Linked DNA regions of Sus scrofa. The protein of the gene in region 1 interacts with the protein of each later gene in a biochemical or structural test. Links are inferred from orthologs where the notes say so. Each region holds a gene or a part of one and is shown in the gene's direction. Other genes may lie near its edges.

Region 1 (4,454 bases):
CAGGGCATCAGACTAGCGGCACCATCCCCAAGTCGTTCCCCGGCTCTCCCTTTGGCAATGACGAGGCCTCTCCCCACGGTCACACACCCAGGCCCAGGCTCTGCCTCTGCCCCATGGCTGAGGGCATTGCCACAAGGAGGTCGGTTCAAAGGTCAGAGGAAACCCCCTCAGGTGAAACTGGAGCTCAGGACAACGCCACCCCAGGTGGACCCAGGGGAGAGAGGGCCTGGAAGGTCTGACATACCTCCGCTCTCTCTGGGCCAGGGCCAGCGGCCAGACCTCTGATCTCCTGCCACCTGACCGCCTTCCTGGCTGCTGCCGGCCTCACCACTCACCTCCCCTCGCTCATTCCCAGCCACCCAAAAGCTTCCAGCCCTGACACCTTGCATGCGTGCTCCCGGCTTTGCCACCTTGCCTTCTCCTCCCACACCCCTGCCCGTGGAGCTGAGGGAGGAGGCCTGGGAGGCTTTGCCCCGAGAGCTGCTGGGCCACCTTTCTTCAGCTCTGTTACTCAGGCCCTCTGTTTTCCGTCCCCCTCACTCCTTCTCTTCCCACTCTGGAACTGCCACCCGCAGGTCTCAGCTGGCCCCTGCTGTTACCCACTTCCTTGCTCCCCGCCCCCCTCGTTCCTTGGATGTTCTGTTACTCTAGACGGAGAGCCTCTCTCGGTACTCCTTCGGCTCCTTTGGTGCTTTCGGGCCTCCTTTGTTATTCTGGGGTGTGGTGTTCCTGGCCCCTGGCTGTGACCATGTCACTTAGTTACCCGCCTTACAGCGGTGTTCTGTTCCTGGCCACCGGCACTCACGGGCTGAGTGCTGGGCTGCAGGAGGCAGGTCTACAGAAGGGGACGAGGTCACTAAGCTTCCTGAGCCAAGCGGCCAGGGGTACCTGCCTTCCCTACCCCTTGGTCTGGGGGTCTCCGGACCACCTCCGGCCACCACCCTCTCAACTCTGGTGTGGCCTCAAAGCTGTAGCCTGGCAGGTCCTGGGTGGTTCTGGCTGCTATGGGGTGATCCCTGAGCCCCATCTGGGGTGGTATGTGGCGGCTTCCACTCCACACCCACCCCCACAACCTGCAGGGGTGGCAGTACTAGGTGGGGTGCAGGGGGGCCAGTCACAGGCCACGAAGGCAGCCTCTGGACAGACAGAGGGAGGCGGCTGGCCCCAAGGAGGCTGACCGAAGGGGGGCGAGACAGAGAAGGACTGGGGGGGGTCCCTGGCCCTGCGGCCCCTCCTGGGGCCTCGCGGCGCGGGCGGAGCGCCGAGGCAGGGGGATGGCCGGGGTGGCTTGGACCCGGGGCGGGGGCGGCAGGGCAGAGGGGGCGGGGAAAGGGCGGGCGCGGGGGCGGCGCCGCAGCCAGATCCGGAGCCGGAGCCGGAGCCGACGGGAACCGAGCGGGAGCCGCCGAGGCCGCCGCAGGGTCTCCCGCGCCGCTCCCGCGCCCGCCCCAGCGCCCCCGCCTGCCCGCGGCGGGCGTGAGCGCCGTGGCCAGCCCGCGGCCGGCCGGTGGGCAGCAGGCGCCATGGCTGCCCCGGAGCCGCTGCGGCCGCGCCTGTGCCTCCTGGTGCGCGGCGAGCACGGCTACGGCTTCCACCTGCACGGCGAGAAGGGCCGCCGCGGGCAGTTCATTCGGCGCGTGGAGCCGGGTTCCCCGGCCGAGGCGGCCGCGCTGCGCGCCGGGGACCGCCTGGTCGAGGTCAACGGCGTCAACGTGGAGGGCGAGACGCACCACCAGGTGGGTGCCTGCGCCCCGCCGCCCCCCATCCCCGGAGCGCGTCCCTGCCCCGCGCGCGCGCGGACGGCGCCAGGGACCACCGGGCCGCCTGCGCCCGCGCCTCGGCTCCCCCGCCGGGGCCAGGAGGGGTCGCACAAGGGCCTACGTGGGCTCCCGGGGACAGGCGGGGGACGTGGCCACCGAGGCAGCGCCTCCTTCCTGGCCTCCCCCCGCCCCCGTCGGTTCCGCACCGCGGAGGTGGGGGGGATCCTGGCAGGGAGGGGCCCGCAATGCGGCGGCTCCTCCGGTTCTGGCCCTGGCTCTTGAGTCTTGTCCGGCCTCCGTACAGTCTGTGCAGGAGTTGGTGCCTCGGGGGTCTCCGTGTGCCTGGGGTCCCCGGCGCTTCTCTGTCAGTGGGGACACACGCGCGCGTGCACTATGGGTATGCGTGTGAATGTGCAGGTCCCTCTGGGGATCACCCTTGTGTGTACCGTGCGGGGTGTCGCGGTGAGGGCACACTTGTGTGTGTCTGCATCAGTTAAGTGTGTGTGTGTGTGTGTGCTGGACTGTGTGCACGTGAGTATACAGGTCTGCACTGCTTAGATGTGTGTGTGTGTGGTGGGGTGCCTGACCTGGGTTGTGTGTATCTGTCTTGGCCCGGGTGTCTGCCTGCTGGTGTACTAGTGTGTGTCCTGACGGTTGGTGTCTGGGTCCTGGTGGGCGTCGCTGCTGGTGGCAGCACATTCCTGTCCTAAGAAGCTGCTGGGCAGCCTGGTGGGGGGTGGGGGTGTGTGTGGGGGGCGTCACTGGCTGTACCCCCCGGCCTCCTGCAGCTGAGGGGAAAGGCCAGAGGGGGAGGTTCTCCTCAGGTTCTGATCCCTGGGGGGTGTCTGCCGCCCACTGACCTGGGATCACCTGGCTTGGGTCCTGTCCTCCTCCACCCCTTCTGCTCAGGATCCCCGCGTCCCCCAGCACCTGTCTATGTGGCCGGCCCTGGGGCCTGGAGATGTGTAAATTGGCTCTTGGCTGGGCTGGGAGCCGAACCGCTTCTCTTCTGGAGCTTTTGTCTGCCCATCTGTCTGCCGGCCTGTTCTTTACCCCGAGTGTTGGCAGGATGAGGCTCTTTGCTGCCGGGGGTGTGGGGGTCGGGGCCGAGGTCTGGGATTGACAGGCCAGGGGGCGGGCCCCGCGCAGCTGGCGCCTGGCCTCTGTTTGACATCAGCTGCCGTCTTCTCCAAGAGCGAGGCTCACCCCAGGCCTCCCTGGGTGTGGTCTCCAAGGACTTCACACGCGGGACCACGGGGAGACCTTCCCACTGCCCTGGGGGAGAGGAGGTACCATCATGGCTCCCGTTCTGCAGGCGAGCAAACCGACAGTTGCAGATACTGGGTGACTCACCTGGGTCCCACTGTCAGGCAGCATCGGGCTGCTGGGGTCCTGTGACGCTGAGGGTCACAGGGGGAGAGAGATACAGAGGGGGCCGGGGCAAAGGTGGGCCTGGCTCGGACCCTTTGCTCTGTTGCCATCTACTGAGAGGCTGGTGCGGGCCCTGTCTGTCGTCCGGGCCTTGGGGTGGGCGTGGGGGTGTTGCTCTTCCTACCCAGTGCCCAGTGGGCACTGCTTCTCCTGCGGGCACACACAGGCATGAAGGCTCCATGGCCGTGCACATGTTCTAGATGCTTCCCAGACACCTGCGTGAGCACGCCTGGCCCACAGGTGGACCTGCTCCTCCCTAGCTCTGCCTGCCGCGTCTGAGTCCCGCTTCCTGGGTTGCGTGCGGGCGCCTGAGGAGGTGTTTTGCCACAAGCACCTAGGTGTTCCCTCTGCAGGTCCAGCAGGAAGAGGCCCATGATCACGGTCTGAAAGAGAATGGAAGGCTTAGACGCAGGTTCTTCCACCGGGGGAGGCAGCCAGGCACAGACACACCGAGCCTGGGACCCAGGGAGACCCTTCCCCCCGCCCCCCCCCCGCAAACCCAGACGTGCAGACGGGGAAGCCGAGGCTTAGCCGAGCCCCGCGATTGTCCCTTCCCGGCCCCTCCCCAGAGAAGAGCCTGCGCCCAGGCGAGGCCCCCGCAGCCCCTGCAGCCCTTGGAGCCCGGCCCGCTTCGGCAGCCCCGGGAGAGGAGGGCGGGAGCCGCCGGAGCTGGGGGTGGGGGGAGGAGCTGCGGGCCTTGCGGTCCAGCCGCCCACCTGGCCCGGGAGGCTCAAGGCCTGCCCCCGGGGTGCTGCTATCCATGTGCTGCCTGGGGTGCTGGCCGTGACCGGCTCCCGCCTCCTGCCCGTCGCAGGTGGTGCAGCGGATCAAGGCTGTGGAGGGCCAGACGCGGCTGCTCGTTGTGGACAAGGAGACGGACGAGGAGCTCCGCAGGCGCCAGCTGACTTGCACCGAGGAGATGGCCCAGCGAGGGCTGCCGCCTGCCCTTGACCCCTGGGAGCCGAAGGCGGACTGGGCGCCCGCAGGCAGCCTCAGCGGTGAGGCCGGCCAGAAGGTACGGCGCCTCTGCCCACAGGGATCACCTGGCCTCTCCCAGGACCGCCTTCTCGGCGCCTCTGGTCGTCTCCACCAGTGTGCGTCTCTGGACCCCTCCTGGACCCCTGGTGGCCACTCTCTCGGCCACTTGGAGCCACTCTTTCTGTCCTCGGCCTGTGTTCTAAACCGCATGGGCTCTGGGCAGCCTGGACCTGGTCCCTGGCCCCCAGGAGGCTCGTCATCGGAGCCCCTTGTCCTTGGAAGGGT
Region 2 (3,895 bases), on another chromosome or scaffold:
CATGAAACAAGGTACAATCTAGTTTGAGATAATTCAATTAATAAGTGTAATTGGGGTCTGGGAATAAAACTCTGGGTATTATGGGTAGATACAGAACCAAGATTAGAGGGGAAAATGCTGAAAGTTCATTGGAAGGTTCTTCAATTGGGTTCACACTGGACAACAGAAAAGCTGCCTGTGGTAGAAGCAATAGCAAAGCCTCAAAGCAGATGTTGCATTTTGGACACGGTACTCGCTGTATGAATTGTGTGGGCTAAATAGGTAATGTGCGTAAAAGGTTTTGCAAAATTGATCTTTTAATTGTAATAAAATAGGATTGAGATAAGAACAAAAAAAGTAAACATCTTGTACAGAAAATGCAAATAGTCAGAATAATAACTACCATTTACTGAATGCCTATAGTGTGCAAGACGCTTTGAAGCAATGCTAGATGCCTTGAAAACATTTGCATTTGGGAGTTCCTGTTGTGGCTCAGAGGGTTAAGGACCTGACATTGTTTCTGTGAGGATGAAGGTTCAATCCCAAACCTTGCCCTTGGATAAGGGCACAGGTTCTCCTCTGATCCAGTGTTGCAGTGGCTGTGGCATAGGCCACAGCCAACTAATTCAACCCCTGGCCTGGGAACTTCCATATGCCACACAGGTGCCACAGGTAAAGGGGGAAAAAAAATTCTCATTTAATTTTCACAATCACCTTGAAATCTGAGTATTATTTTTATAGGCATATAGATGAAGCTTAAAAAGTTTAAGTAGGAGTTCCCGTCGTGGCCCAGTGGTTAACGAATCCGACTAGGAACCATGAGGTTGAGGGTTCGGTCCCTGCCCTTGCTCAGTGGGTTAACGATCCGGTGTTGCCGTGAGCTGTGGTGTAGGTTGCAGACACGACTCGGATCCCGCATTGCTGTGGCTCTGGCATAGGCCGGTGGCTACAGCTCCAATTCCACCCCTAGCCTGGGAACCTCCATATGCCACGGGAGCGGCCCAAGAAATGGCAATAAGACAAAAAAAAAAAAAAAAAAGTTAAGTAAATTGCCCAATATATTTCCTTTAAAAAATCCCATCACTAGTGAAGTAAGTAACAAAGTGATACTTACTTTGTGCTACACTTTTCTCAACTTTAAATTATCAAATTCCATTTGGGAGCTCCCTGGTGGTCTAGTGGATAGGACCCAGTACTTTCACCATTTTGGTCCAGGCTTGATCGTCAGTCTGGGAACTGAGATGCGCCATCAAATTGCTGCTGCACGCTATGGCAAAAAAAGAAAGAAAGAAAGAGAAAAAAAAATCCATTTAATTCCCAGAAACAATAAGAAATGTGCAATATCCTTGAATCTGACAAATTAAAAGCATTTTATAAGGTGTCATAGAAATTCTGATGGGTAAAATGGAACAGCCTCACTTAGAGTTAGGGACAATGACTAGACTTTAATCTGTCCCAGGACTCCGATGCCATAACTTAGGAAACATTGCTGAAAAAAATTTCTTAAGTAATTTCCTTTCTTGAGATCTCACTTTACAAGTCACAAATGCATTCATTCACTCATTAGTAAACTGAGTCAATTTCTATTGCTTTTGGCAGCCTTTTCAAAATAAATCAAAGCCCTTGTTTACTTACCCAACAGAGCTGTGTCCAGAGCATCGGGGTAAAAAGCGATATCACTGTCACAAAACACAATCTAGGTCCCTTAATCCAGCCTCTTTTGATCTCAAAAGGTGGTAACATTCAGTGCAGAGCTCACTCATCTGTAAATTGCATCACATTATCTCCGAGTTATTTAAGAAGCAAGCTCTGTTTGGTTTCAGGCATTTTAACCTGCTAAAGGCAAGAAGGGTTTGCCACACAGTTCCAAAGGTCTTCCACTCGCCACAGCCGTCAGAGAAAGCAAAATGATCGAAGCCATCGGGAATCAGTATGTGGTGGCCAGGCCAGTGTATTCTGCAAACGCTTTCGGGGAAGAGCATAAGAAGAAACAGAGACGTCATAAGACTTTTCTGGATCATCTCAAACAGTGTTGCAGGTAAGACATTTTTTTAAGGTACGGGCAGTAGGGGTAAAGGAAGCACCATTTCTGAACTGTTTAAGCTTCCAAGCTCTCCTTTCTAGCTGTAGCCCACAGTCTCCAGAGTCTTTTTACCTTTGATTTCCAAACCTCTCCCTCTCTGCCAGGGCTGGGAAGGTAGTGTCTGCAATGCACACCATCCTTCCACCTCAGAGGACTGACAGATGAGGACAGAGGAGAATTCTCCAACAAACTGTGGTCCAGTGCAAGCTGGGGAGGGCAAATAAGTTCTCTTACGGCTAAAGAGAAGGGACAATTTTCTTAAAAAAAAAAAAAAACCATTGGTGATGGCTGGGGAGCAGCGGCTATGGGTAAGGAGGTGAATGGTATTGGGAAGCTAGTGAAATGATCATTTATGATTAGCTTTATCAATGTTCCATCTACAATTAGACCCTGAACTTAAAATTGGATAGTAATTAACTGACTTGTGGCTTTCAATGTTTTCAGCTGTTCCACACAAAAGGCCAAGAGAATTGCCCTTTCTTCGTTCCCCATAGCATCTTGGTTGCCAGCATACCGCATAAAGGAATGGCTACTCAGTGATATTGTTTCTGGAATCAGCACAGGGATGGTGGCTGTGCTGCAAGGTAACTTTTTTTTTTTTTTTTGAGATGTAATTCATGAATCAAAAATTCATCCTTTTGATGTGTACAATTCAGTGTTTGGGGGTATAGTCACAAGGTTATGGAACTATCACCATTGTCTAATTCCAAGATATTTTCACTGTAACCACCCCCCAAATCTCTTGCTCATTAGCAATCACTTCCCACCCCAGCCCCCTCACCCCTCCATCCATTCCCCCTAGTAACAACTTTCTTTCTCAATGGATTTGCCTATCCTGGGCATATTATGCAAACAGAATCATATGTGGTCTACTGTGTCTGGTTTCTTTCACTTAGCAGAATGTTTGCAAGGGTCATCCATAACATATGGGTACTTCGTTCCTTTTCGTGACTGAATAATATTCTAAGGAATAGATAGACTATTTTGTTTGTCGATTCATTGCTTGATGGACCTTTGGATTCTTTCCACCCTGTGGCTATTATGAATAATACTGTTAGGAACACTTGTACACACATTTTTGTGTGAACCTATGTTTCAGTTCTCTTGGGTTTATACCTAGACGTATAATTGCTGTCATATAATAACCCATTAGCAATGGTGAGGGTTTGCATTTCTCCATGTCCTCATGAACGCTTGTTATTGTCTGCCTTTGTTATTTTAGTTATCCTAGTGCGTATGAAATGGCATCTCATGTTGATTTTGATTTGCATCCCCCTAATGACTAATGCTGTTGAGCATTGTTTCATGTGCTTACTGACCATCTGTACATCTTTGGAGAAATGTCTATTTAAATCTTTTGCACATTTTAAAATTAGGTTATGTATCTCATTGTTGAGTTGCAAAATTTATTTATATATTCTGGATACTAGACCCTTATCCAAGCTATGATCTTCAAATAATTTCTCCCTCTCTGTGGGTTATTTAATTTTTTTTTTGAATAGTATCCTTCGAAGCACACATTTTTACATTTTGATGGAGCGCAATGCATCTGTTTTTGATTTGGCTGCTTATACTATAGGTGTCACTTCTAAGAAACTATTACCTAATCCAAGGTCACAAAAGTTTCCATCCAAGTTTTCTCCCAAGAGTTTTATAGTTTTAGCTCTTACATTTACATTTTTGATACATTGAAGTTAATAATTGCTCAGGTGCCATCTTAAATACTTGAAGAACCTAATGAAAACGTCTGTGCATGAAATAAGGACATTGATGCTTGTATATTCACAGGTCTAGCGTTTGCTCTGCTGGTCACCGTCCCCCCAGGCTATGGGT
Region 3 (4,507 bases), on another chromosome or scaffold:
GACTTCGTTGCTGTCGCTCTTAAGATTTTAGCTCCTTTGCATTTTATTTTATTTATTTATTTATTTTTGTCTTTTGTCTTTTTGTTGTTGTTGTTGCTATTTCTTGGGCCGCTCCCACGGCATATGGAGGTTCCCAGGCTAGGGGTCGAATTGGAGCTGTAGCCACCGGCCTACGCCAGAGCCACAGCAACGCGGGATCCGAGCCGCATCTGCGACCTACACCACAGCTCATGGCAACACCGGATCGTTAACCCACTGAGCAAGGGCAGGGACCGAACCCGCAACCTCATGGTTCCTCGTCGGATTCGTTAACCACTGCGCCACGACGGGAACTCCTGCATTTTATTTTTTAACTTGGCTCCTTTTGTTTTCTTTCTCGTTTCTTCTTTTTAAAGTTCCGCGGACGTCTGGTCGGTTGACAAGCTTGTGACCATTTCTGCTGCACAGCAAAGGGATCCCGGTTCACATCCTCTTCTCTCTCAGGTTCTTTTCCCGCGTAGACGGTCCCAGAACACTGGGTAGACTTCTCGGTGCTGGACGGCAGGTGGGCCAGTCGTTCCGTAGACGCCAGTGGGCATGCGCCAGTCCCAAAGCCCCACCCGTCCCCCCATCCGCCCCCTTTGTTCACTTTCCTGACAGTAACTGAGCCCCATTGTCCTAACCCACTGAGGTACTTGATCCAAGCCCTTCAGGGAACCAATCCCCTCGCACCCCCAATCCCCTCGCAGCCCCCATGGCAGCCTCTTCATCACACCTGGCTCCGACGCCCCTCACCCACTCGGGTCCCAACACCACGTGCCAGACCTTCGAGCCCCGCCCCGCATCTGCCAGGCGTGCCCAGGCCTGACCGTGCGGCACATTCTGCCCCCCACCGCCTCTGGTCGGGGCCCTCACCTGTGGGCACAGGTGAGCGGGGGGGAAGAGTGGGTGGTTTCAGCTGCGAGGAGGCTGAGGAGCCTGAGCCTAACTTGGAGGGAAGGGCTTGGCAGGAGCACAGGACACCCCCCATGCCCTCCAGGGGCCCTAAGGGGTGGGGGGGCTTTGTGAGATGCAAGCCTGGCCACAGACCGGGGTGGGAGCCACAGTGTCACGGGCCTGAAGCCCTTCTGCACGTTCCCATCCCTGGGCAGAGCCCCCAAGCAGAGACTGGAACACCTGATTAAGCACCAATTAAACCCCGTTCCTTCATGGCTTCTATTTTGTGTGACAGGAGAACTAATCTCCTGAGGGGCGGGCCGGCCCCTTATCTCAAGGCTCAGGGAGGTAGGCAACCTCCCTGCCAAGGCTTTGAATGCCCGTGGGAAGAGAGCCAGCCCCTGGGAACAGCCCGCTGGCCAGAAAGAGGACCAGAGGGTGCCCGGAGCTTATCTGGAGACGACCGGCCATCAGGGCTGCACGGGGCAGGGCTGGGCTTGTGGTCACCAAAGGGGCGTGGGAGCCAGCTCAGCTTTAGGACGAGTTGGCCGGAAGGAAGTGAGTAGCTCCCTGCGTAGACAAGGAGGATCTGGCTGCAGAAACCCCAGGGGACACTCGGCACCTGGCGAGGAGCACAGCGCCTCCCGTCCAGCATGCGGGCGCAGGGCTCTGGCCTGTGCGCCTTGGTGCTGCTGGCCTGGCTGGCGGGCACCGTGTACCCCTGGGCACTTGCCAGCTGGGACCCGGGTCTGGCACCCATGACCCCCCGGAACAGCAGCGGGGTCCCGGGGGCCAGCTTGCCGTGGCTGTCCGTGCGGGTCCCCTTCCTCCTCACGCTGTGGACACTCGTGGCCCTGTCAGCCCTCCTGGGTAAGCGCCTGCGTCGCGTTGGGTCCCCTCTGGTCCAGAGTGTATGGCTGGTTCTGGTTCTGGTTCATGACTCCTCGTGCCCAGTGGTCCATGTGTCAGCTCTCTTCTGGAACAACAGGCGGACCCCAAGGTCACTCAGCCCCCTCCCCGCCTGAGACTGCACCTGCCTGAGGCCTAAGGCAGGGGGGATGGGGGGAGCTGAGCTGGGGACCCGAGGCGCCTTTGGGGTCACCTGGGCTCAGGTAAGTGAGGGGGGGCCTTTGGGGGCCCCTGAGGGCACATAGCCCATCTGAGCACACGGCTCTGTCCCGGCTGCGGCAGAGCCCCGGCAGTGGCGGGGCCCCCGTGTCGGCTCAGCACCCGGGGAGGGGGCTGCTCCCTCGCGAGCCGGCAGCTCCTGGCCCGTCCTGGTTGGGCTCACCACTTTCTTTATTCCAAGTATGAAAAGAGGAATGTCACTGCCCTCAAGTTCTCCCAGAAGTAAACTGGCAGGGTCTGAACGGGTGAGGATTTATCCCTACAAAGCAGGTAGCCTCTTGGTAAAATTGCACAGAACAGGGCGTTCAGCTCTGAGGACGGGCGAGCTCTGGGGCTATGGTGTCAAATTAAACGAAGAACTGACCACCCAGCACGATCAGTTAAGACAAGAAAGACCATCGTGTCCTTTATGTTCCATTATGTCCGGCTCCCTGACCTCGTTGTCGAGAGTCGATGCGGCCAGGATACCCCCTGGGGTGCCGCTGTCTACGTGGGGTGTCATCCAGGAGCGAGGCTGGCGAGGACCCCTCCCAGCCCGCGGGCCGCTGGTCGCCTCGTGCCCTTCCTGTGGGTGGAACCTCTGCCCTCGGGCAGCCTTGTCCCAGAGCGCGGAGGCCACTGGGGAAGAGAAGGAGAAGCCCTGTGCTGGCTGAAGACACCCCTGCGCAGTGCCAGTGTCCCCAGCCAGGCACAGTGCACCTGCGCCCCTGTGCTGCTGCGGCAGAGGAAGCCGCACCCTGGGTTCCCAGTGGGAGCCTGGGAGGGCTGCACTTTGCTGAATGTCCCCTGAGGCCGGCAGGGGACTGAGCAGCCCGGGTCTCAGCCGTGGGCAGGGGCTGGAGCCACGTCTCTCCGTGGTGGGAAATGGGGTGTGCAGAAATGGGGCCAGAGCCTGGAGCAGGGTGTCCACGAGGTGCTGCCATGTCTGGGCTGGGTGGCAGGTGTCCAGCAGTGGCTGTAGCTGCCCAGATGGGAGCAGGAGTGGACCGGACAGAGGAGGGCTGACCACTGGCCCATAGCTCAGGAGGAAACTGCTGGCCAGCGTGATGGACGCTCGGGCAACCGTGAACGCAGACGAGCCTGTGCTGGGCGGGCGGCCCGGCTGGGTCCCTGGGCTGGGCTGAGGCGGGAGTGGGTCACCCAGGGTGCAGCCTGCCCCTTCCTCCTGAGCAAGGAGGAGAGGCTTGGGGGCAGCAGCCCTGTCTTGGGGGGGCGAGGACCAGAGTTGGGGGTTCTGGTAGAAGGTTTGTCTTGCAAGGAAGCAGGACACACAGCTCGTCTGTGTGTTGACAGGGCCCTGCTGTGGGGGCAGCTGGGCGGGGTGCTGGGGACGGGCGGGCGCGGGGGTGCCAGCAGGTCCTGGAGCGGCAGGGAGAGTGCAGGCCCCGGGCAGCGGCCTATGGCCCGGAGGCCCTGCCGGTGGGTGTCGGGAGCAGGAAGCGTGCCATCGGGCTTGGACCAGGGGGCGGGGCGGGGAGGGCCAGTGTAGGCTGAGGCCTGGGCACTGAGGGCCAGGTGTGGGCAGAGGCTGGGGCTCCTGGGGGCGGGGGCTGGTGGGCCTCCGTGTGGCTCCACACGGGTAAACGCCAGCAGGGCTTAAACGGCAAGAATAACATGCATCCGGGAGCGAAAATCCTCGGGAAATGAGGGGAAACGACCTGGGAAGGGTGATGACCTCAGATGACCTGGGTTTTTGGCAAAGGGGGCCCAGAGTCAGGGGAAAAATTTGCGGGTGGTGAGCAGGGCCTTGCAGGCCCCCGGTGGGGCCAGGAGGAGAGTCCGGGAGGCAGGCTTCTTGTGATGGGCACAGAGGGGGGTTGTCCGGAGGAGTCCAGGCAGGAGGAGGTGGGGCTCGGCTGCGGGAGCGGGACATGCGGCCTCTCCATCCCCAGGAGCTGGAGGGGGGGTGCAGGCCAGCCCAGGCCAGCCCTCCCCCGCCCCTGGTGATGGGGTAGAAGGTGGGGGGACAGTCGGGAAATCCTCCAGTTCGCAGGCTCACCTGGGAGGCTTCAGACGCTGCAGGACCGGAGCGTCGCGTGTCTGTGTGGGAGCACGACTCTTTGGACGACAGGCTCAGAAAGGCTCACACGGATGCCCTCTCGCTTGTGTGACGTGTCACCTCCAGGCCACGGTGGGGAGGCCCTGCCTCAGCCAAAGGCAGCTGCCACTGCAGCCTTGCGCTTGGTCTGGGGGACACAGTGGCATCTGCCCCGGGGGACGGGCTCATCTAGATGGGGCCACCCCTGCCGCACAGGTGCAAGGATTCTGCTGAGAACTTGCACAGCCGTGGGTAGGAAGCGCCTGACGGGGGTCCCACCCACCCGCTGCTGATTCCCACGTTCCAGATCCCGGCAGCCAGGTGTTATTTTGGCATTTCAGACACTCTATGGTATCTTGTTCTGGTTTTGTTTGCGTTTGCCTGACTGCTGGGGAACCTATCCCATATCCTTGGCTATTTGGATTT
Region 4 (3,895 bases), on another chromosome or scaffold:
CAACTACACGGGAAGAACCTGGTTTTTAGTGATGGCTACGTGGTAAAAGAGACCATTGGTGTAGGCTCCTACTCCGAGTGCAAGCGCTGCGTCCACAAGGCCACCAACATGGAGTATGCTGTCAAGGTGGGCCTCTTGAACACATCCCGGCCAGGGCTGCTCGCTGGGGTGGAGGTGGGGGCAGTGTCGCCCTGGCCCTGTGGTGGGGGAGGGTTGGCATGGAAGGCTCTGGATGGGCGAAAGGTATGCGGCTGAGACTCCATTCTCTGCAGCCAGGGCTCTGAGGCAGGCAGGGGCTCTGGGGTCTGTCCCCCGACACTGCCACATGCACCCCCCTTTCCTCAGGTCATTGACAAGAGCAAGCGAGATCCCTCGGAAGAGATTGAGATTCTTCTGCGGTACGGACAGCACCCCAACATCATCACCTTGAAAGATGTGAGTGGGGGTCCTTGAGAGTGGGGTGAGGATGGGGCACTTGACTCTAGGACTGGCCTCGGGGCCGCTGTTCCTTTGATTTCTGATCCTCCTCCTCTGCTCACGGACAATGCCAGATCCTTAACCCGCTAAGCCACCAGGGAACTCCTCCCTATGGCTTATTACAGGATAGTGAATATAGTTCCCCGTGCTGTCCAGTAGGACCTTGTTGTTTATGAACTGGGTCCATAATAACTAACATTTGGAGACAGTTATGAGCCGAATAACAATGGCATGTCCATGTCTGACATGCCACGGGTAACAAGGTCCCTTCGTGCCCCTGAGCCCTCCACCTGGACCCAGGCATTCTCTGAGAGCCCTCCTACCTGTCAGGGGCCCAGTGCCAGCATCCTGTCCAGGGAGGACGGGGCTCAGATGGAGAAAGACCCTGCCAGGGTGACTGAGACACAGAGTGGAACAATGCCCAAGGCTTCCTGGCCTGGTGAGCTGGTGACCAAAGGGCCCAGTCCTGGCATCGCAGGAGGGGCCTGATGATGAGGTCTCTGACAGGTGTACGATGATGGCAAACACGTGTACCTGGTGACAGAGCTTATGCGGGGAGGAGAGCTGTTGGACAAGATCCTGCGGCAGAAATTCTTCTCGGAGCGTGAGGCCAGCTTCGTCCTGCACACCATCAGCAAGACCGTGGAATATCTGCACTCCCAGGGAGTAAGTCTTAGGCAGGGGCACCGCATGGGCGTGGGGGGCTGCCAGGGGTCATACCACCAGCAGAGTGCAGGAACCGTGGCTGGCCCAGCCAGTGGCAGTTTTCAACCAGCCAGACAGAGGGAAGCCTGGGGATGGGTGAGTGGGTGAGAGGGTGGATGGAAGGAAGGGAGGGAAGGGAGGAGAGATGAGGCCGGATTACAGAAAGAAACATTTATTCAGGTCCTAGGCAAGCATCATGCTTAGTTCTTTCCTTAATTGATTTTTACCTGTTAGGTAGGTACTGTATATTGGTCTCACTTTTTAGGTAAAAAGGCTGTGGCTCAGAGATGTGAGTTCATTTGCCCAAGGTCACACAGCCTGGGAAGAGTGGAGCCAGGATGTCTGACTGAGGAATTTGGGTGGGAGGCTACAGATAGGGAGTGGGTTTTTTTGGTTGGTTTTTTTTTTGGTCTTTTTCTGGCCTCACCCATGGCATATGGAGGTTCCCAGGCTAGGGGTCTAATTGGAGCTGTAGCCGCCGGCCTACACCACAGCCACAGCAGTGCCAGATCCAAGCCGCATCTGTGACCTCCACCACAGCTCACGGCAACGCCACATCCTTAACCCACTGAGTGAGGCCAGGGATCGAACTCCCAACCTCATGGTTCCTAGTTGGATTCATTTCTGCTGTACCACGACGGGAACTCCAGGAGTGGGCTTTTGAGTTAGGAAGCACCGAGGTCACTGTAGGAGCTGCCAGGCATCAGGAAGGTAAATCTGGCCATGGGTTTGGCTGTTAGGACAGAGGAGGCGATGCTCCTGGAAAGACAGCAGGTGCTAGGAAGTTGTAGGTCCAAACTGCAGGGCTTGGCTGTTATCATTGTACAAGGTGGAATTAGGAAAGGTCTTTGTAGGGTATTGAAGCCGAAAACAGAGTCTGCATGAGCTTCTCCATGGATGAGATAATATTTTAATGTGGGGGTTAAGGATGCAGGCTCTGGAATCAGACTGGCTGTGACAAGTCCTGTGTGTGAGGTTGAAAAGCCTCTTACCCGAGCCATTTCCTCATCTGCAAACTCACTATAAGGAGAGCTGCCCCCTCCCAGGGTGGCTGAGGGATGAGCCACGATCCAGCCCAGGCCCCTGGGAAAAGGCCAAGTAAACACAGGGGGAAATAGAACCAGATCATTCCTATACCTTTTCTTTTCCCCCTCTTTTTAGGGCTGCACCTGCGGCACATGGAAGTTCCCAGGCTAGGGGTCAAATCAGAGCTGCAGCTGCTGGCCTACACCACAGCCATAGCCACACCGGATCCGAGCCACATCGAACCTTGCATCCTCGTGGACATTAGTTAGGTTCTTAACCCGCTGAGCCATGATGGGAACTCTGCCTTGTTTTTTTTTTTTTTAGCATTATCTTATTAGTATGGAAACTTTCAAACAGGGAGTTCCCATTGTGGCTTAGCGGGTTAAGAACCCGACAGAATGTCTGTGAGGATGCAGTTCGATCCCCCGCCTTTCTCAGTGGGTTAAGGATCTGGCATTGCAGCTCAGATCCAGTGTTGCCATGGCTGTGGTGTAGGCTGGCAGCTGCAGCTTCAACTTGACCCCTAGCCCGGGAACTTCCACATGCTGCAGGTGCGGCCATGAAAAACAAACAAACAAACAAAAAAAAAACCTTTCAAACATATACAGAAACTACGGGAATAATAACCCTAACCCCCAGACACCAGATTGAAGAATTGTCCAGATTTTTATCTCCTCTCTGTCTCTCCCTCTTTTCTTCCTTCCTCTTTCCCTTTCCTTCTCTCTCTTTCCTCTGTTTCTTTTTTTTATTGTTGCCGAAATATTTTTTCCAACTTTTTGTTGAGAAAAAAGCTCAAACCTATAGAAAAGTCAAAGGAATAGTACAACGAAAAACATTTCCCTTCTGTTTGTTTATTTTTAGGGCTGCCCCTGTGGCATATAGGAGTAACCAGGCTAGGGGGCGAATCAGCCACGCCAACGTGGGATCCAAGCTGAGTCTGCGACCTGCGCCATAGTTCACAGCAATGCCGTGTCCTTAACCCACTGAGTGAGGCCAAGGTTCGAACCCACATCCTCATGGGTCCTAGTCGGGTTTGTTACCACTGAGCCATGACGGGAACCCCCGACATTTCCCTTTTGTATTCCCCAAATCTTAAGAGTCACCACATTTGCTTCATCTCTTTCTTTCTCTGTCTCTCTTTGTTTCTGTATACAAGTATATATGTTTATCTGTGGGTACATTTGAAAGACAGTTGCAGATATTATGCCACTTGACCCATAAAAACCTATAATTAAAGTATTTAAAAACGTATTTCAGCCTTCACATCATCTTAGTTGTATAACTCTCAAAAAAAGACAAACATTTCTTTTATAACTAACAAAGTTAGCAATTACTTGTTTTCACATAGTACCCAGTCAGTAGCACATTTCTCCTCTTTGTCCTTTCAAATATAATTTTTCTGGGCTTGGTGTATTGGAATCGCAGTCTCTGCAGTGTCCACATCTTTCATTCACTTGTTATATCCCTGAAGTCTCATAAAATCAAGGTAAGAGTTCCTCTTGTGACTCAGCCAGTTAGGAACCCAACTAGTATCCATGAGGACTAGTGTTTGATCCCTGGCCTGCTCAGTGGGTTAAGGAACTGGCGTTGTCACAAGCTGTGGTGTAGGTTGCAGACATGGCTCAGAACCACCATTGCTGTGGCTGTGGCATAGGCTGGCAACTGCAGCTTCCATTTGACCCCTAAC
Region 5 (4,438 bases), on another chromosome or scaffold:
CCTAGCCTGGGAACTTCATTATTCTGCAGGTATGGCCCTAAAAAAAGACAAAACGAAACAAAAACTTCTACCCAGGTGTTCATAGCATCACTATTCACAATCACTAAAAGTATAAACAAAGTGTCCATCCACAGATGAGTGGATTAAAAAAGTCCATACAATGGAATAGTTTTTGGCTTTGAAAAGGAATGAAGAATTGATACATACTACAACATGGATGACTCTTGAAAACATGTGGGGTGATAGAAGCCAGACACAAAGCCCACATACATATGATTTCATTTATATGAAATGTCCAGAAAAAAACAGAACTTTGGAGACAATTAGCAGTTGCCAGGGAGTGGGGGAGGAAGGATGGGGAGTGACTGACTGCTAATGGATAGGAATTGCTTTATGTCTAACCCATGGCATATGGAAGTTCCCAGGCTAGGGATTGAATTGGAGTTACAGCTGCCAGCATAGGTCACAGCAATGCAGAATTCGAGCCGTGTGTGCAGTCTTTACCACAGCTCACCTGTACTTAAGTGAGGAGCTATCATTATGACTCTGTGAGTTGATATCCCTTAACCCACTGAAGGAGGCCAGGGATAAAATCCTCATGGATCCTAGTTGAGTTTGTTAACTGGTGAGCCAAGACAGAAACCCCTGGATAGGAATTTCTTTTTGGGGTGATGAAAATGTTCTAAAGTTAGATTATGGTGATGGTTGCACAGCTTTATAAATATGCTTAAAACATTGAATTATACTCTTTAAACAGGTGATTTTTCTCAAGGCTGATGGAAAAATACAAATTACAAAAGATAGTAGGTAGAACTTGGGGCAGTGAGTGGCTCAATAGACAATGGTCATTATTCTTATTAACTAGGTCTCCCTATTTTTTTGTTTGTTTGTTTGTTTGTTTGTTTTTGGTCTGGCCGCGGCAAACAAAATTTCCTGGGCCAGGGATCGCTACAGCAGCGACAACGCCAGTTCCTTAACCCGCCAGATCCTTAATCAGGGAACTCCCAGTCTCCCTAACTTAAAGCCCCAGAAGCAGTTGGGGTGGGGGACTGCTGAACTTCAGCTCGGCCTAGGTTTTAAGTCGCTGAGAGTCGCTGGGAGAATCCCAGAACCACCGCGGGTCTCCTCGGAGCTTCTCGAATGGGTGAAGCAATCCTCACTCACGTCCCTGGGGTCTCGCGGGGGTGGGGGGTGCTTGGAAGGCAGATGCGGAATTCCCAACGGACGACTTCGGCCTCAGCTGGCACCGCGCTGCAGGTGACTGGCTGGGTCGCGGCTAACCCGGAAAGGCCAGAGGAGCTCTTTCAGGTGAGCTCTCGTGATTGGCAGCCCAGGGGGGAAGGGCTTCGGGAGACGGCTGCCCCGCCCCCTCACGTCGGGCCGGTTGGCGCCAGCCTGGGGGAGGTGGGCGGGCCCTGGGGGTCCACGGCGCCCATTGGGTGTGGAGGGGAGGGAACGCCGGGGAAGGCCTAGGGCCCCGCCCCCGGATTTGCTGCGACCAATGGGCGCGGCACGTGGGCGGGGCGTCGGCGGCAGTCGGGCGGCTGAGGCGGCTGAGGTGGCTGAGGTGGCCGCTGAAGCTGAGGCAGCGGGCGCGGCCGGGATGGCGAAGAGCAGCGGAGAAAACGGGCCGCGCGCTTCCGCAGCCAGGGGGAGCCTGTCGGGGACCCGAGAGAGCCTGGCCCCGGGCCCCGACGCCGCAACGGCCGATGAACTCAGCTCTCTCGGCTCGGACTCAGAGGCCAACGGCTTCGCTGAGCGCCGCATCGACAAGTTCGGCTTCATCGTGGGCTCGCAAGGCGCCGAGGGCGCGTGAGTATGGCTGGGGGCCGGGGCCCGGGGCCGGGGGCGGGCGCGGGACCTGAGAGGAGGGCCTCGACGCGGACCGAGCCGCTCTCAGGAAGGACCGACGTGTCTCAACCAGGAACCAGCGACCCTTATCTCCCTTGCCCCACCCCCACCTCCCCCCAGGCGGATTGACCCGCTTTCACCCTGGAGCCTACTTTGGAGCCTGGGACACGCAGGCCAACCTCACCTCTCCTGCTCGCACCTCCAGACAGACTGACCCGCCCCCAGGAAGGGCTCTCCTCACAACTGCGGACAGATTGACACCTGTCCCAACCCCATCACTACCACCCTCGCCTTAGGGTTGATTGACTTTGCCACCCTGGGCAGGCTCACAGGTGGCCGCCCTTCCCCCAACAGGCCGATGTTCTCCATGCCCCCCCGCCCCGCCCCCGACCCGCAGATGCCCTTGTTTTAGCAGCCCACTACCCTCATATCAGGGGTATACCTTAGGCAGACTTCAGAGGGACAGACTTCTCTGCCCACACTACATTCCAGGACAGACTGACCCTCACCTCAAGACACACAGACCTCTGAATAGACTGATATTTGTCAGTTCCCTCCTTCTTTGGGACAGACAGTCCCTTCCCCTCATGGAAGGGTCAGAGCAGAGCGTGTTCCCCTCTCCCCTCAGAGGCAGATTTCTCCCTGTCATTAGCAACAGGTGGGCAGACACTCCCCCTTTCCAGTACCCACAAGGTGATGGTACCTCATCTTCAGAATAGACTGTCTTTGTGGATGGTGTGGAAACATGCACCTCCTCTCCAAACACAGACTGGGGTTGGGGGGGCAGCAGCAGGAGACAGCAGGGTCCAGGCTCTTAGCACACCCAGATCCCCTGTACCCAGGCACCCAGCTGGCAGGCAGAGAAATGTGGGGCAGGGAAGCAGCACCTTCCCTTTAAGTGGGGTAAATTGAGCAGCCACATAGAACTCCTTGAGCCTAGTCCTCACAGAGATCATATGTATGGGTTGGTGATCCCTTTAGGAAGGATGGACTCTTGATCCCACTCCCATCCTCCTGTCCTGTCACATGAGACCAATGTTGTGCACAAAATTGACAAATCTCCCTTGCAATGGGCCTCCTCTTCAACAGAGAGCCCCATACAATCACTTGTGGGAGCCCACAGGACTCAGCCATGACCCTACTCCAGAGGGTCCTTCCTCCCCTTCTCTCACCATTTGTGACTGCCCAAGCTTCTCCAGCCTCTGTTATGACTTATGGAAGGGCCTTGATCATGTGTAAGATTTCAACCCCACACAAACAGTCCCATAAAGGTCACTTCTGGGATTTTTCCCTAGTCCAAATCCTCATATTCAGCAGGCCTCTTTCTCATTTGGAGAGGTAGAGAGAAATGCAGGCCTCTCCCCTCCTCTAAGGAGAGTTCTCTTTTACTCACTGGACTGTGTCCTCCAGCCTCTTTCCATTTACTCACAGCAAGCTAAGCCTTGTCCATTCCAGGACTCAGAGAGCACCCCTTATTCTGATCCCTCACCCTGACTCAAAGCTTTGTCACAGTTCCCTAGGGATTGGAATGAGAGAACCCAAAGGTGAATTGGAATATATTTTTGAAATGAGGAGCAGATACAAGGGCTCAGGGTCCTGGGAGGGATGAGGTCTAAAAAAGTGGGAAAGGAGTTCACAGTTGCATTTGTGGGTGCTTGGAGGGAAGAGCTCAGATTTGCTGGTGAATTCTGGGAGGTAAGAATTCCTACCATGCTTATCAGGCACTTAATCACATCTCAGGGTACAGAGCAGGGTGATATAGTGGAAAAAGGCCAAATTTAGCAAGAAGTCACACTTACTGGCTGTGTGACCATGGGTAAGATCCTGAATCTCTGAGCATGTTTACTCACTGTAAAGGGTAACAGTATCACCTACTCCCAAGATTACTGTGGGGATTAAATGAGATAAAGTATTCAAAGGTGCCTAGCACAGTACCTGGCTCAAGTAGTGGCCCAGAAAAAATGTTAGTTTCCTTTTCCTTCAAAAGATCTGGAAATTGAGGAGAAAGTGAGCATGTATCTCTGGTATTTGTAGAAAGAGAAAGGCCCCAGGGGAGGACCTCCCTTTGGCTGTAGTCCCCAACCAAGCAGCCAGACATCTGTCTTCCCCACCCTCCAACCACAAACCCAGGCTTTGCAGACACCCTCTGCATCCTTGGTGTCTATACTGCTGGGGCTGAGGTGGGATTCCAGGTCCCTTCCTCTCTCCCTGTCTCACTTTCTTGACTCTGTTGGCTAACCTAAAATCTCTGGTATCTGAAGGCCTGGGATGTTCCCTGTTTAGTTTATATTGTGGTTCAAAAAAAGTCAAAAGTAAGTCTCTGCCCAAGGCCATAAGAGGGGAAGTTATGAGAAGTTTCAGAGTGGTTGTGCTGAATCCAGTCTCGTGGTTGAGGGCTAGTGGGGCCCAAGTGCTGTCCCAGAAAAGTGAAACATTAGCACTGATGGCTGCAGCAGAGATGGTGGGGACTCTGGCTCCAGATTAAAGGTCCATTTTAGCCATTCTAGGCCAAAGGTTGTCTCAAGATGATAAGTTTTGGCAGTTGCCAGGAGCTGGGGGGATGGGAAAGAATGCAAATCAGAAGCTA
Region 6 (4,486 bases), on another chromosome or scaffold:
TGGTAATGAACCCAACTAGTATCCATGAAGATGCAGGTTCAATCCCTGGCCTCGCTCAGTGGGTTAAAGATTCAGTGTTGCCAGAAGCTGTGACTGATGACTCAACTTAGATCCCATGTTGCTGTGGCTGCAGCATATGCTGGTAGCTGCAGCTCCGATTTGACCTCTAGCCCAGGAACTTCCATGTGCCATGGTGCAGCCCTAAAAAAAAAAAAAAAAGCCATTATTATTATTATTTTATTATTTTTCCAGTGGTGAAAAAATTTTTTTATTTTTTTATTTTTTATTTTTTTTATTTTCCCACTGTACAGCAAGGGGGTCAGGTTATCCTTACATGTATACATTGCAATTACAGTTTTTCCCCCACCCTTTCTTCTGTTGCAACATAAGTATCTAGACATAGTTCTCGATGAAAAAAGCCATTATTAATAACACTATTTTAAGAGTTTCCACATGTCTCTGTGGGTTAAGGATCCTGACAACGTCAGTGCTGTGGATCAGGTCACTGTTACGGTGCAGGTTCGGTCCCCAACTGGAAATTTCTACATGCTACCGGGTACAGCAAAAAAAGTAATAACAGTATTTTAGTCAAGGTACATTGAAATACTCAAAAAGAATAAAAAAGATGTTATCATTGTAAACACAAAGAACTTTGAGCTTTCTTCATTTAGAGTGGAAGGGAAGAGAAGATACCCAAGATTTGGTTCATTCAGACCTGCAGTCATTCATTCATCCAAACAGCATATTCTAGGCACTTTTCATGCACACTGTCCACCTACCGGTTGAGACCATGCTGGACTTTCACTTGGTCCAAATCAGAATTCATTATTTACTGATTTTATTTTATTTTATGTTATTTTTATTTGGCCAGCCCGAAGCATATGGAGTTCCTGGGCCAGGGGTCAGATCTGAGCTGCAGCTGGGTGGCCAGATCCATTAACCCACTGTGCCAGGGGAGGGATGAACCCTGTGTCCACATGCCACAGAGACATCTCCCATACCCTTGTGCCACAGCAGGAACTCCTGTTTATTGATTTTCAAGCCTTGGACAAGTTCTGTCCTTGAGCCTTATCTTTCTCATCTGTAAAACAGGGATAGTAATACCTTCTTTATTAGGGCATCGTTAGAGTGAAAAGTGCAGTCAGGTCCCCAGAAGTGCCTATAACCGGTGTTTTATAAAATGTACCACTGTTACTCCACTAGGTTTTGAGCACATGATGAAAGAAATCATAAGGCAGTCTCTCGCCATATTCCCCTTTCCCAATCTAAAAGGGCAGCAAAAAGCTTACAGAGGTCCCCCCCGCACCATGCAGTAATGTGAGATCTCAAAAGCCCTTTGGAAGCGTGCATTCGTCTTCCAAAATTTTTTGAGTTCTTCTAATTCTCTGTTACATATCTTTAGGTCTTGCAGCGTTACAAACACATCTGTGCTAAATCCAGCCGTTGTCCCAGGTCAAATGTTTAGCCGCAGGATGGAGAACCTCCCATAGCACCCTAGTTTGGTCGTGAGGAGGGCAGGGTGCCCAGAGGGCGGACTGCTAATGCCTACAGCCGGCCTTCTCTGGGTCTTCGGAAAGCTGCAGCCGAGGGGGCGTTTCTGAACTGCAGGGGCGGGCAAATACCACGCCTCTCCCTCTCCACCTCTTCTGGGTGGGTGCCTGGGCTGGGAGCAAGAACTGAGGCTGAGCTTGCAGCCAGGTGCGAGCACGTGGGTGTCTCGGCTCGGAGACAGACTGTGTCGCGTGGTAGGTCTACCCGCTTCCATCCAACGGCACCTTCGGCCTCGCCTCGCCCCTTCACCAAGCTGCGGACGGCGGCAGCCGAGTCACCCCTTTGTCTCGCCGCTCGCACGCGTCCGCTGCACCCGGCTCCCGGCAGATCCTGCAGCGGCGCGTAGCTGGCGGCCCCGAGGCGGACCCGGGAGGCGGCGCGGCCTGGGAGGCGGGCCGCAGGCGTTCCACTCCCGGAAGCGAGTGATTCTTGGGCTCCTGCAGGCGGACCCCCGGGCCAGCCAGAGGTCCAGCATCTCCGCCAACCCTTCCGGGAGCAGCGTGAGCGGCACCGCCGCGGGAGCTGTGCGACCCCGGCCCGCACCCGTCTTGGCCGTCAGGATGCTGCCGGTGTACCCGGAGGTGAAGCCCAACCCGCTTCGGGACGCGAACGTCTGCTCGCGCGTGTTGTTCTGGTGAGCGCCCCGCCTGAGCTGTGACACCGCCGCCGCCGCGCCGGCGCCTTTCGGGAACAGAGGGTTGGGGCGAGCAAGAGCTTCCCGCCGGTGCCCAGGCCGCCCGGCTTCCCGCCGACAATGGGGCGGCCCCACGCGGGTCGCGTGGTCCCCACCTGAGCCTGGGCGCGCGGGGGCGGAGGAGCAGGGCGGGGGAGGAGGCCCTGGTGGCGGGGCCGCCGGGTGTCCCTGCCTTTCCTCTCGCTGTTTCGCCAGCCCGTAGGAGGAGGAGCAGGGGGAGCAGCTGGAGCAGGAGGGGGAGAGGCGGAGAACCTGGGCTGCCCAGTGGGAATCTACACCCAGCAGGAGAACGCGCTGCGCCCCCTCTCCACTCCCTACTCTGTGTAGCCGGCTTCCCCAGTATTGCTAAGGAGTTCGAAGTTCTGAGCTAAAGCTGCACCCTTTCCCCCCTAAGCAAGCATCTTATGAACAGCTTCCTTTATCTATTTAGTGCCCTGGACCAGTTGCCGTCTTCCAATGTCCCCACCTTTTTCTGTATTCTTAGATGACAGCTGCGTACCAAACTGCACTGAGCTCCCTCTGTCTGTGTTTTTGTGACTGTGTCTCGCTCCCTCCCTCTCCGTGTGCGTCTCTCACTATCTTGGTACCTAGTTGTGGCAAATTACATGTGGGTGAAAAAACTACACTATTTTTTAATTACTGGGGCACACTGCTCTTGGGCACGTTTTGCTTTGGCCCCGGAGGCACAGCCAGCACTGGAGAATGAACTTGGCTAGCCTCTTTCCTATTGCAAATATTTCTACTTCCCCTTTTGAGGACCACTCTGGGGATGGGGTCCCTGAGGCCTGTGGGGTCTTATCCAGGTCTCTAGCCTTCAGAGAAGCAGTGCATGGTCTGACAGTGCTGATGGTCCGGCCCAGGAATCATTTGGTCCTAAATCCACTGAAGCGTCCTGAGCTGGGAGCAAACCCTGATGAAAAACAGCTTACAGAGGTGAAGTTCTTTTCCTTTTTTTTAGGGTCGCACCTGCGGCACATGGAGGTTCCCAGGCTAGGGGTCCAGTAGAAGCTGTAGCCTCAGGCCTATGCCAGAGCCACAGCAATTCGGGATCTGAGCTGTTTCTTCGACCTACACCACAGCTCACCGCAATGCCAGATCCGTAACCCACTGAGCAAGGCCAGGGATTGAACCAGCAACCTCTTGGATGTTAATCGCTGAGCCGCTACTGAACTCTGGTGAAGCTTTAACTAAAAGTTTTTATCTAGTAGCTAGGACTACTTAACTAGGTGGGCCTGAACCTTTGGCCTTTAATCACACTTGGGTCATTATGAGATCTTTTGTTTCTGGCCCCTAATCCATACTCTGATAATTTCCTTTTTAATGGGCCGGCCTAGCAGAGGGTCCCCAAGGGTTGGAAGCTTGTTTTGCTGGAGGTGTATTCAGTGTGTGTAGCTACATCTCTTGGCCATTTGGTGGCCCTTGAGTAAAGTAGAGCCTAGGCTTATGGGTGTGGTTACTGTAACTTCTGGCAGGGCAAGGAATTCTCAGAGCATCTTCTGTTTGTGGATTTTCAAAATGTATGTGTCTGTAAATGGGATAGGTGAGGACTTGTCTGATTTTGTTAGGCACCTGTGTCCAGTTTTCCTACTGCAGCAGCAGGAGCAATTTTTTTTTTAAGGGCCGCATTCTCAGCCTATGGAGGTTCCCAGACTAGGGGGCTGACTTGCAGCTGCAGCTGCCAGCCTACACCGCAGCCACAGCAACATGGGATCCAAGCTGTGTCAGCGACCTACATACACCACAGCCACAGCAACCCCAGATCCGAGCCGCATCTGCGACCTACACCACAGCTCCTGGCCATGCTAGATCCTTAACCCACTGAGCAAGGCCAGGGATCAAGCCCAGGTCCTCATGGATACTAGTCGGTTTCGCTACCACTGAGCTGCAACAGGAACTCCCCAAGGATTTATTTCTGTTAGCCAAGTACATTTGATGCTATTTTGGTTGTTTTTCAGTCTTTTCCCTAGAAATCTTTATGCACTCTTCTGCTCACACATCGTTTCTATAAAACTAAATAGTTTTGAATCTTGAATCCTTAATTTTTTATGGTTAGTGTTTATTTATGTTTAAAACCGGGTATTTAATGGTAATTTATGCAATCTTTCATTTTTAACACTGTTTATTTCTAATTATGATATGATCCATATCCACGACTGTGTATTTTACTATATCTTCCCCCTTTTTTTTATATTCCCAAAAGTAAGATAATTGGAACTGGTGAAATGCCAAATGGTGTTCCAG
Region 7 (3,229 bases), on another chromosome or scaffold:
GCAGCCCGGTTCACCGGAGGACTCTCACCCCGTTACTCCCATGTTTGAGGAAAGCCAGGGGGCTGCGGTCCCTTTCTGACAGGCAGAGGTCGCCCCTCGTAGGAATGGAAACTTGCCTGGAATGTTGGAGGCAGCGTGGTGGAGGGGAAGAACGTGGACCAGGGAGTCAAGAAGACTTGGCCTAAGCCCGGGCTCTGCCTCCTGTCATCTGGGTGACCTTGAGCACGTCGTACGACCTCTGAGCCTCAGATTTCTCATCTGCTTAGTGGGGCCAGTATCTACCCTGCAGAGTTGCTCTGAGGCACCGCTGATAGAAATGAGCCTAGGCGTAGCTGTCTAACCAAGCGTTGTTCCCTCCACCTTCTAGAATTCCTCCATGGCAGTTCCATACAGGCCCATGGTTCTCAACCCAGGCTGCACACTGTGGGGAGCTTAAAAAAATATCCCCATGCTTAACTTCCTCACACATCAGTTGAAAAGAATCTCTGGGAGTTCCCACTGTGGCGCAGCAGACATGAATCTGACTAGGAACCATGAGGTTGCGGGTTCGATCCCTGGTCTCGCTCTGTGGGTTGGGCATCTGGCTTTGTTTTGAGCTATGGTGTGGGTCGCAGATACGGCTCGGATCTGGCTTTGCCGTGGCTGTGGTGTAGGCAGGCAGCTATAGCTCCAATTGGACCCCTAGGCTGGGAACCTCTATGCTGTGGGTGTGGCCCTAAAAACCAAAAAAAAAAAAAAAAAAAAGAAAAAGAATTTCTGGATCAGTAGATTTGTGAAAAGCTTCCCCAGGGACGGCCCCGTTCACCCCGGGCTGTATCTTGGGTAAAGACAGAGAGAAAGCGTTCTCCCCGGGGTTCTGGAGATGGCTGCAGGTGCTCCTCTCCCCACCTCGCTCAGCCTTTGAGAGGTCCTGATCAACATCACCTCCTTCCAATTTGTCCCAGCTCAGCACTGGGGGTGAGGACGAGTTTGGGGGGAGGAATGGAGGGACGGGATTGGAGGAGGGGAAGAACGTGGACCAGGGAGTCAAGAAGAACAAAAGCTCATCTCCATGGACTTGATGGATTTGCCACCAGGGCAAAGGGAGGTGAGCTAGGAATTTGAGGATGCTGGGCAAGTTCTTAGCTCAAAGAGCCCCAAGGCAGGCCAGTAGTCAGGATGGCCTCCAGGAGCACCTGTTGCTCACATTAGTCAAATGGAGGTTCCTAAATTCGGGGGGTACAGGTGTAAGGTGGAGACGATAGTCAGGCTACCAGCCCTCAAGAGTGACTCTCTTTTTCTTGGGTCATCTCCTTCGCCCCAGCAACGGCTAACAGAAGAGCTACAGACAGTGGAGAACGGTTACCATGACAACCCAACACTGGAAGTGATGGAGACCTCATCAGAGATGCAGGAGAAGAAGGTGGCCAACCTCAATGGGGAGCTGGGGGACAGCTGGATCGTCCCTCTGGACAACCTGACCAAGGATGACCTGGAGGAGGAGGAAGACACACACCTCTAATCAGGTCTGCCGGCGGCCTCCGACAGCGCACAGGGCTCCAGCTGAACCACCTCAAGTGCCGTTTGGACAAGGGAGGAAAATCCTTCCCCTTGGAGGGAAAGACTGGGGAGGGAGGGCGGGCGGACTCGCAGGCCTCCCCATCCCCATAGGCCTTAATTTTTCCCTTTTCAAGCTGAACAATTCACCTTCTGTGTAGAACCTTCTTGTAAAATAACCCACTAGTGCCTGAGTTCAGTGCCGCTGGGAGGTCAGGCAAGAGCCGTATGAGGGACTTTGGAGACCCCCTGGTAGAATTCCTTCATTTCACAGACAGGCGACCGAGGCCCAAAGAGGGTAAAGTCGAGGTCACCCAGCCCCTGGGTGACAGCGTCAGGATGAGAACAGAGCTTCCTCCCTTCAGCCCGGTGCCCGTTCCCAGCACACTGCGCTGCTGTGGCGACCCAACGCCCACCCTCCAGAGCTGATGGGCTGGAGGGGAGAGCAGGGCAGGCTCGTCTCGGTGGCATCTGATTACTTCAAAGCCTAGGCCCCGTCGTCTGTCTCCTGTCAGCACCCGCCAGTGTGTCCCGTCGTCTGTCTCCTGTCACCCCCCGCCAGTGTGCCGTCCTCTTTGTTGTCCCCGCTCCCTTGACTCAGTTTTAATTCCCACGCCGTCCCAGGGCCCCTGGCACTAACACAGGTCACTCGTGACCTTGCTGTCCTTGCTCTGGAGTCTCATTTCCTGGCATTTCTTCAGAGATTGGGACCAAACGCACACAGGACTCAGTGTGGACAAGTGTGCCCAGGCACCCACCTACAGGGGGACCCCTTCCTCCCAGGATGGGTCCCCTGGCCACCCCCCGAGGCGCTCCTTGAGGCCTCCTCTTCCCACCGGGCACCAAAAGCAGCAGCAGCTACCGAAGGCAAGGTGTTCCTATTTCGTTGTCACTGCTTGGCCCCTGCGATGGGGTGGGGGCTCCAGCTCGCAGCCTCTGAGATCCAGCAGCTTAAGGACAGAGCTTCATGGGGCCCCGGCAGCTGAGATGTGTCTGAAATAGACAATCGATTGAAACAGCAGGAAGGACAGGCTTTACTTACTCTGTTTCTTTGGAAACTTAGGGGCTTGGCAAGCTGCTGAGAGTTTTGTTTTCTTTTTTCGTTGATCTTTGAATCTGGCTCTCCACCTCCCAAGGCCAAAGCTCAAATCACTGGGACCTTTTCAGTTAGATTCCAGGCTTCTGTGCACAGGCAAGAAAGGCCTAGAACGCCAGGTGCCCTTCAAGGTGCACGAGGGGCAGCCCCAGCCCGGCTTTCTGTTCCCGGCCACCTCTCTCTGTCCGGGTGCAGAGCTGGGCCTGGCTGGGTCCCCTTCTCTGTGTTCCTAGCAAGGCTGGCTGCCAGTGCTTCCGCAGGTTCTGGGGGCATCTCAGGGAAACGTAATGCCGACTGCTGCCCAGGGGAGGGGCTTGAGGAAGCGCAGTGGGCTGAGGACTGGGCAGAGGGAGGCTTCCTTGGGTTTTTTTGAGAAGAGGGTCCTGCATGGAATTCTGTTTTGCCCATGCTCTCTATTGTCCCTGGGGATAAAGTCCCTGCAGCCAACCAGGAAGATAGGCACAACTGCTTAGGAGAATGAAAGTGGTCCCTTCAGGGCAAAGAAGCTGGACCCCCTGTACGTAGAGGCAGGGCCAGGCTGCAGCAGTTCTGATAAAATAGGCTATCTGCTTTAAGATAGGTTCTTTTTTTCTTTTT

Evidence for each region.
Region 2: the proteins of SLC9A3R2 (region 1) and SLC26A3 form a complex in vitro, tested with the Homo sapiens proteins (2 studies listed by BioGRID and IntAct, with this or other methods). The link is inferred for Sus scrofa from reciprocal best matches to the Homo sapiens genes NHERF2 and SLC26A3.
Region 3: the proteins of SLC9A3R2 (region 1) and SLC9A3 form a complex in vitro, tested with the Homo sapiens proteins (2 studies listed by BioGRID and IntAct, with this or other methods). The link is inferred for Sus scrofa from reciprocal best matches to the Homo sapiens genes NHERF2 and SLC9A3.
Region 4: the proteins of SLC9A3R2 (region 1) and RPS6KA1 interact in a test that uses a peptide from one of them, tested with the Homo sapiens proteins (2 studies listed by BioGRID and IntAct). The link is inferred for Sus scrofa from reciprocal best matches to the Homo sapiens genes NHERF2 and RPS6KA1.
Region 5: the proteins of SLC9A3R2 (region 1) and TBC1D10A form a complex in vitro, tested with the Homo sapiens proteins (2 studies listed by IntAct, with this or other methods). The link is inferred for Sus scrofa from reciprocal best matches to the Homo sapiens genes NHERF2 and TBC1D10A.
Region 6: the proteins of SLC9A3R2 (region 1) and ABCC4 form a complex in vitro, tested with the Homo sapiens proteins (2 studies listed by BioGRID and IntAct, with this or other methods). The link is inferred for Sus scrofa from reciprocal best matches to the Homo sapiens genes NHERF2 and ABCC4.
Region 7: the proteins of SLC9A3R2 (region 1) and PODXL form a complex in vitro, tested with the Homo sapiens proteins (3 studies listed by BioGRID and IntAct, with this or other methods). The link is inferred for Sus scrofa from reciprocal best matches to the Homo sapiens genes NHERF2 and PODXL.

The regions. Positions count from the first base shown.
Region 1 is NC_010445.4:39,949,761-39,954,214, reverse strand, and holds the start of SLC9A3R2 (Na(+)/H(+) exchange regulatory cofactor NHE-RF2), read left to right. Parts: upstream 1-1,390; 5' UTR 1,391-1,523; coding exon 1,524-1,736; intron 1,737-2,873; exon of another isoform or gene 2,874-3,057; coding exon of another isoform or gene 3,058-3,075; intron 3,076-4,005; coding exon 4,006-4,206; intron 4,207-4,454.
Region 2 is NC_010451.4:107,508,612-107,512,506, reverse strand, and holds part of SLC26A3 (chloride anion exchanger), read left to right. Parts: intron 1-1,802; 5' UTR 1,803-1,886; coding exon 1,887-2,017; intron 2,018-2,506; coding exon 2,507-2,646; intron 2,647-3,850; coding exon 3,851-3,895. UniProt on the Homo sapiens protein: Mediates chloride-bicarbonate exchange with a chloride bicarbonate stoichiometry of 2:1 in the intestinal epithelia. Plays a role in the chloride and bicarbonate homeostasis during sperm epididymal maturation and capacitation.
Region 3 is NC_010458.4:79,624,042-79,628,548, forward strand, and holds the start of SLC9A3 (sodium/hydrogen exchanger 3), read left to right. Parts: upstream 1-1,513; 5' UTR 1,514-1,568; coding exon 1,569-1,785; intron 1,786-4,507. UniProt on the Homo sapiens protein: Plasma membrane Na(+)/H(+) antiporter. Exchanges intracellular H(+) ions for extracellular Na(+) in 1:1 stoichiometry, playing a key role in salt and fluid absorption and pH homeostasis.
Region 4 is NC_010448.4:83,933,960-83,937,854, forward strand, and holds part of RPS6KA1 (ribosomal protein S6 kinase alpha-1), read left to right. Parts: coding exon 1-126; intron 127-345; coding exon 346-435; intron 436-984; coding exon 985-1,143; intron 1,144-3,895. UniProt on the Homo sapiens protein: Serine/threonine-protein kinase that acts downstream of ERK (MAPK1/ERK2 and MAPK3/ERK1) signaling and mediates mitogenic and stress-induced activation of the transcription factors CREB1, ETV1/ER81 and NR4A1/NUR77, regulates translation through RPS6 and EIF4B phosphorylation, and mediates cellular proliferation, survival, and differentiation by modulating mTOR signaling and repressing pro-apoptotic function of BAD and DAPK1.
Region 5 is NC_010456.5:47,298,618-47,303,055, reverse strand, and holds the start of TBC1D10A (TBC1 domain family member 10A), read left to right. Parts: upstream 1-1,515; 5' UTR 1,516-1,603; coding exon 1,604-1,812; intron 1,813-4,438.
Region 6 is NC_010453.5:64,306,898-64,311,383, reverse strand, and holds the start of ABCC4 (multidrug resistance-associated protein 4), read left to right. Parts: upstream 1-1,552; 5' UTR 1,553-2,111; coding exon 2,112-2,185; intron 2,186-4,486. UniProt on the Homo sapiens protein: ATP-dependent transporter of the ATP-binding cassette (ABC) family that actively extrudes physiological compounds and xenobiotics from cells.
Region 7 is NC_010460.4:17,489,032-17,492,260, forward strand, and holds part of PODXL (podocalyxin), read left to right. Parts: intron 1-1,303; coding exon 1,304-1,501; 3' UTR 1,502-3,229. UniProt on the Homo sapiens protein: Involved in the regulation of both adhesion and cell morphology and cancer progression. Functions as an anti-adhesive molecule that maintains an open filtration pathway between neighboring foot processes in the podocyte by charge repulsion.